Saccharomyces cerevisiae S288C: one gene and its partner. The protein of the gene in region 1 interacts with the protein of each later gene in a biochemical or structural test. Each region holds a gene or a part of one and is shown on either strand. Other genes may lie near its edges.

What was found. Proteins that work in one complex are often made in the same cells at the same time.
Region 2: the proteins of PRT1 (region 1) and RPG1 form a complex in vitro, tested with the Saccharomyces cerevisiae proteins (4 studies listed by BioGRID).

The regions. Positions count from the first base shown.
Region 1 is NC_001147.6:1,015,947-1,019,703, reverse strand, and holds the start of PRT1 (translation initiation factor eIF3 core subunit b), read left to right. Parts: upstream 1-2,051; coding exon 2,052-3,757. Other genes in the region: PRE10 (proteasome core particle subunit alpha 7), read left to right, coding at 958-1,824. UniProt on the Saccharomyces cerevisiae protein: RNA-binding component of the eukaryotic translation initiation factor 3 (eIF-3) complex, which is involved in protein synthesis of a specialized repertoire of mRNAs and, together with other initiation factors, stimulates binding of mRNA and methionyl-tRNAi to the 40S ribosome.
Region 2 is NC_001134.8:396,554-400,310, reverse strand, and holds the start of RPG1 (translation initiation factor eIF3 core subunit a), read left to right. Parts: upstream 1-2,033; coding exon 2,034-3,757. Other genes in the region: AAA family ATPase SEC18, read left to right, coding at 1-1,697.

The DNA.
Region 1 (3,757 bases):
TCATTTCGCCGTTGTGTGTTTTAAGAAGAAAAATGTTAATGTTAGCAAGACGAAATCACACGTATAAATAAATATAGCAGCACGACCAGCTTGGAAGTTCAAAAAAAAAAAAAAAGTGAAGATAGACAATCATAGGCACAATTTCTGATGGTAGTGAACATATAATGGGCAGACCAAGCTCTAGCAACTTAATGCAGAGAAAGATTTGAAGCTACCGCCGCGTGTTCAGCGTGACTCTCTATAATAGGCCATTTATGTACAAGATCTTCTGCAATCCTATCAAGTATTCGTACTACTATTTTCCCTGCCAATTAGACGTGATGAAAAATATTGCTGGGCTTTGGTTTGAAAACGACTATTTAAATAAATATTACCTTTCCTTTTCTTCAATTGTTTCTCATCTCCTTCGGCCTCCGTTAAGTATATGTTTTTTTACGCGTTGTCAATGACAATACCGCAGGATGCGAATGTGTGACTTCGTAATCATCGGTGTGAAAAATACTCTAACTTTAAACAAAGGTAACATCTAAACTGTCTGGAAATATGCAGCTATTCCCATGTATACACACTAGAAAGAACAGTATTTCCCAGGTCCCAGAAGTTCTCTGTATATGTAGTCCTACCCGTAATTTACCCTTTGAAGAGATAATCTGAGCACTCAGATTTCGACCCTGATGGGGTCACTTTTCTGAATCATTGCTGACATTGCTTCTGAAAAGTGTTGCCTGTGTCTTTATTCCACTTATGAGTTGGTAAGCTTCCTCACAATTTATAATGGGTTCCGATAGCTAAATCACGTTTAACGAAGATTTCGCCGCCCCTCTAAATCGGTGGCAAAAATAAGAAAGTAAGTGGTAATAGTGGCGGTAGAGGGTTTATTTGGTAGTGCAGTTGTAAAGCTTTCAAACACATTCGAGCGTCGCATCATCAAATTAACAAAAGCATAACTCTTCAGCAATGACATCAATTGGTACTGGTTACGATCTTTCCAATAGTGTTTTTTCCCCCGATGGTAGAAATTTCCAAGTAGAGTATGCCGTCAAAGCAGTCGAAAACGGTACCACATCAATCGGTATAAAGTGTAACGACGGTGTAGTCTTTGCAGTGGAAAAGCTCATTACGTCTAAACTGCTGGTCCCACAAAAAAATGTCAAGATTCAAGTCGTAGACCGTCACATCGGTTGCGTTTATTCAGGTTTGATTCCTGATGGTAGGCACCTGGTTAATCGTGGTCGTGAAGAAGCCGCCAGCTTCAAAAAGCTGTATAAAACGCCCATTCCCATTCCTGCATTTGCAGACCGTTTAGGACAATATGTGCAGGCGCACACTTTATACAACAGTGTTAGACCGTTCGGGGTCAGTACCATCTTTGGTGGTGTAGATAAAAATGGTGCTCATCTTTACATGTTGGAACCAAGTGGCTCTTATTGGGGCTACAAGGGGGCTGCCACTGGGAAAGGTAGGCAATCTGCGAAGGCTGAATTGGAAAAATTAGTTGACCATCATCCAGAAGGTCTTTCAGCAAGAGAGGCCGTTAAACAAGCTGCAAAGATTATCTATTTGGCACACGAGGATAACAAGGAAAAGGATTTTGAATTGGAAATAAGTTGGTGTTCACTGTCGGAAACGAATGGTCTGCACAAGTTCGTTAAGGGCGATCTGCTACAGGAAGCTATCGATTTTGCCCAAAAAGAAATTAACGGCGATGATGACGAGGACGAAGATGACAGTGATAACGTCATGTCCAGTGATGATGAAAATGCTCCAGTGGCTACGAATGCAAACGCTACCACTGACCAAGAGGGTGATATTCACCTAGAATAGGTGACATTCTGATAATACGTTAAGAAGAACCAAAGAGTTGAAATAATATGAACTCACGTGTAACGCCGCGAAACAAAAAATACATTTTAGTACCTTCCATTACATTTTACGTAACTAGATAAACTTCTCATTGTGCACCATCTTATCATTATTACTTGATCGCCTAATACTTTTATTCTTCTGACACCTATTACCCTCCTTTCCATATTTTGGATAGCGGGAAACTAATGAAAAATTTTCTTCCACGCACATTGAAAAATATTTACGAATTATATTTCAATAACATCTCAGTACATAGTATAGTATCTCGCAACACACAGCTCAAAAGGTCAAAGATAATTCAAATGACTACCGAGACTTTCGAAGACATTAAGCTAGAGGACATCCCTGTTGACGACATTGATTTTTCCGACCTGGAAGAACAATACAAGGTCACTGAAGAATTCAATTTCGATCAGTACATCGTCGTTAATGGTGCCCCAGTCATCCCATCCGCCAAAGTTCCTGTTTTGAAAAAGGCTTTGACTTCTTTGTTTTCCAAAGCTGGTAAAGTTGTTAACATGGAATTTCCAATTGATGAAGCCACTGGTAAGACGAAAGGTTTTCTCTTCGTGGAATGTGGCTCAATGAACGATGCTAAAAAAATTATCAAGAGTTTCCACGGTAAAAGACTGGATTTAAAACATCGTTTGTTTCTTTATACTATGAAAGATGTTGAAAGATATAATTCTGACGACTTTGACACCGAATTCAGGGAGCCTGATATGCCTACATTCGTTCCATCTAGTTCCTTAAAATCCTGGTTAATGGACGACAAAGTGAGAGATCAGTTTGTATTACAAGATGACGTGAAGACTAGTGTGTTCTGGAACTCTATGTTCAATGAAGAAGATTCTTTGGTGGAATCTAGAGAGAACTGGTCTACCAATTATGTTAGATTCTCCCCAAAGGGTACCTATTTGTTTTCTTACCATCAACAGGGTGTAACTGCATGGGGTGGTCCAAACTTCGATCGTTTGAGAAGATTCTATCATCCAGATGTAAGAAACTCTTCCGTCTCTCCGAATGAAAAGTACCTGGTCACTTTCTCCACGGAACCAATCATTGTAGAAGAAGATAACGAATTCTCTCCATTTACCAAGAAAAATGAGGGTCATCAATTATGCATCTGGGACATTGCTTCTGGTCTGTTGATGGCAACTTTCCCAGTGATAAAGAGCCCATATCTGAAATGGCCTTTAGTTAGATGGTCTTATAATGATAAATATTGTGCTCGTATGGTTGGAGACAGTTTAATAGTTCACGATGCTACTAAAAACTTCATGCCATTAGAAGCTAAGGCTTTGAAGCCTTCTGGTATTAGAGATTTCTCATTTGCTCCAGAAGGTGTTAAATTACAACCATTCAGAAACGGTGACGAGCCTTCTGTTTTATTGGCTTATTGGACTCCTGAGACTAATAATTCCGCTTGTACTGCTACCATTGCTGAAGTTCCTCGCGGTAGAGTGCTAAAAACCGTTAACTTAGTTCAAGTCTCCAACGTAACTCTGCACTGGCAAAACCAAGCTGAGTTCCTGTGCTTCAATGTCGAACGTCACACAAAGTCTGGTAAGACTCAATTCAGTAATCTACAAATTTGTAGGTTGACTGAAAGAGATATACCAGTTGAAAAGGTTGAATTGAAAGATAGTGTCTTTGAATTCGGTTGGGAACCCCACGGAAATAGATTTGTTACAATTTCTGTTCATGAAGTAGCTGATATGAATTATGCTATCCCAGCAAATACAATCAGATTTTACGCTCCAGAAACTAAAGAAAAGACTGACGTAATTAAAAGATGGAGCTTGGTCAAAGAAATTCCAAAAACTTTTGCCAACACTGTTTCTTGGTCTCCAGCGGGTAGATTTGTGGTTGTAGGTGCTTTAGTGGGTCC
Region 2 (3,757 bases), on another chromosome or scaffold:
CAAAGGGAATTTTGACAAAACAAACACAAATTAATTTTTTCAAAGGAAGAGATGGTTTAGTTAATTTGAAATCATCAAATTCATTAAGACCAAGATCAAATGCTGTGATCAGACCGGATTTCAAGTTTGAAGATTTGGGTGTCGGTGGTTTGGATAAAGAGTTTACTAAAATTTTCAGAAGAGCGTTTGCAAGTCGAATCTTTCCTCCTTCAGTTATAGAAAAACTGGGTATTTCTCATGTTAAAGGTTTGCTATTGTACGGTCCTCCAGGTACTGGTAAGACCTTAATTGCAAGAAAGATTGGTACAATGCTGAATGCCAAAGAGCCCAAAATCGTCAATGGTCCAGAAATTTTGAGTAAGTACGTTGGTTCTTCAGAAGAAAACATTCGTAATTTATTTAAGGATGCAGAAGCAGAATATAGGGCCAAGGGTGAGGAATCTTCCTTACATATTATTATTTTCGATGAGCTGGATTCTGTTTTCAAGCAGAGAGGTTCAAGAGGTGATGGTACCGGTGTAGGGGACAATGTAGTTAATCAATTGTTAGCTAAAATGGATGGTGTTGATCAATTGAATAATATTTTGGTTATTGGTATGACCAATCGTAAAGATTTAATAGACAGTGCTCTTTTGCGTCCAGGTAGATTTGAAGTCCAAGTTGAAATTCATTTACCCGATGAAAAAGGAAGACTCCAAATTTTCGACATTCAGACGAAGAAAATGAGGGAAAATAATATGATGAGCGACGATGTTAACTTAGCTGAGTTAGCTGCGTTAACAAAAAACTTCTCTGGTGCTGAGATTGAGGGTTTAGTGAAGAGTGCAAGTTCTTTTGCAATCAACAAAACCGTCAACATCGGGAAAGGTGCCACAAAACTTAACACTAAAGATATAGCAAAACTTAAAGTAACAAGAGAAGACTTTTTAAATGCACTCAACGATGTTACTCCCGCTTTTGGGATTAGTGAAGAAGATTTGAAAACATGTGTGGAAGGTGGAATGATGCTTTATTCCGAACGAGTTAACTCAATATTGAAGAACGGAGCCCGTTACGTCCGCCAAGTTCGCGAGAGTGATAAATCCAGGTTAGTATCTCTATTAATCCACGGCCCTGCAGGGTCCGGTAAAACAGCTTTAGCCGCTGAAATTGCTTTAAAATCTGGATTCCCATTCATCAGGTTAATTTCTCCCAACGAGTTGTCAGGCATGTCAGAAAGCGCAAAAATTGCCTATATTGATAACACTTTCAGAGATGCGTATAAATCTCCACTAAACATTCTTGTTATTGATTCGTTAGAGACTCTAGTTGATTGGGTACCAATTGGTCCAAGATTCTCTAATAACATTTTACAAATGCTAAAGGTTGCATTGAAGCGTAAACCCCCACAAGACCGTCGTTTATTGATCATGACTACTACATCAGCTTATTCGGTACTTCAACAAATGGATATCTTGAGTTGCTTCGACAATGAGATAGCAGTTCCAAATATGACCAATTTAGATGAATTGAACAACGTCATGATAGAATCAAACTTTCTTGACGATGCTGGTAGAGTTAAAGTTATTAATGAATTATCAAGGAGCTGTCCTAACTTCAATGTCGGTATTAAAAAGACCTTGACCAACATTGAAACCGCAAGGCACGATGAAGATCCCGTGAACGAGCTTGTTGAGTTGATGACCCAATCCGCATAATTATTTCAAATTTTTCATGTCCTTGTATTTTTATTCTTTATCCCTTCCAATCAGAAAGGATCTAGTGAACAAGTTCTTTCCTCTATGGTATATATTTTAGTGATAAATTTTATAAAATTATCAAAACCAAGGCATCCTTTCCTTTTATTCTGTCATTGGAATCTGCCTGTCATAATTATCACCCACCGGGTAAAGATGATAATTTTTCAGTCGCTTTGCCCGAGAAGCTTTGCCAGGTGAAAAATTTTTCTTGGTGAACTAAATCGAAAGTAGATATACTTACAACTATAGAGAGAGTTCCAAAATAAACCATACAAACGCCCAGGAAACATCAAGATGGCCCCCCCACCATTCCGTCCTGAAAATGCCATTAAGAGAGCCGATGAACTTATTTCTGTTGGCGAAAAACAAGCTGCTTTACAATCTTTGCATGATTTCATAACTGCCAGAAGAATCCGTTGGGCTACACCTTCAACTGTTGAGCCAGTCGTGTTTAAATTCTTGGAAATTGGTGTTGAACTAAAGAAAGGTAAGCTGCTAAAAGACGGTTTGCACCAGTACAAAAAATTAATTCAAGGATCTACCGAAGGTTTGGTTTCTGTCGGTGCCGTTGCACGTAAATTCATTGATTTAGTCGAATCTAAAATCGCTTCTGAACAAACTAGAGCTGACGAACTTCAAAAGCAAGAAATCGATGATGATTTGGAAGGTGGTGTTACCCCAGAAAATTTGCTGATTTCTGTTTACGAGTCAGATCAATCTGTGGCTGGTTTCAATGATGAAGCCATTACTTCATGGTTAAGATTTACTTGGGAATCATATCGTGCAGTCTTAGATTTATTGAGAAACAACGCTTTGTTGGAAATTACTTATTCTGGTGTCGTTAAAAAAACTATGCATTTCTGTTTGAAGTATCAGCGTAAAAACGAATTCAAGAGATTAGCTGAAATGTTACGTCAACATTTAGATGCTGCTAACTACCAACAAAGTAAATCAGGAAACAATTTAGTTGACTTGAGCGATGCTGATACCTTGCAACGTTATTTAGATCAACGTTTCCAACAAGTCGATGTTTCTGTCAAGTTGGAATTGTGGCACGAGGCTTATAGATCCATTGAGGATGTTTTCCACTTAATGAAAATATCCAAACGTGCTCCTAAACCATCTACTTTGGCTAATTACTACGAGAATCTCGTAAAGGTCTTCTTTGTTTCCGGTGATCCATTGTTGCACACTACTGCCTGGAAGAAGTTTTATAAGTTATATTCTACCAATCCAAGAGCCACGGAAGAAGAATTCAAAACATATTCTTCTACAATTTTCCTATCCGCTATTTCTACCCAACTAGACGAAATTCCATCTATTGGCTACGATCCTCATTTACGTATGTACCGTTTATTAAACTTGGACGCCAAGCCAACTAGAAAGGAAATGTTGCAATCCATTATTGAAGACGAATCCATTTATGGTAAAGTTGACGAGGAATTGAAAGAATTGTACGATATCATTGAAGTTAACTTTGATGTCGACACAGTGAAACAACAGCTGGAAAATTTATTAGTCAAATTGTCTTCTAAAACCTACTTCAGCCAATACATCGCACCTTTAAGAGACGTCATTATGAGAAGGGTTTTTGTTGCTGCCTCTCAAAAATTCACTACTGTCTCCCAGTCCGAATTATACAAGCTCGCTACCCTACCTGCTCCGTTAGACTTATCTGCTTGGGACATCGAAAAATCGCTGTTACAAGCTGCTGTGGAAGATTATGTTTCAATTACCATCGATCATGAATCTGCTAAGGTTACATTCGCTAAAGATCCATTTGACATTTTCGCATCAACTGCTTCTAAAGAAGTCTCTGAAGAAGAAAACACAGAGCCAGAAGTCCAAGAAGAAAAGGAGGAAACTGACGAAGCTCTTGGGCCACAAGAAACTGAAGACGGTGAAGAAAAGGAAGAAGAATCTGATCCTGTTATTATCCGCAATTCTTACATCCACAACAAGTTGCTTGAATTATCCAATGTCCTACACGATGTTGACAGTTTCAACAATGCTTCATA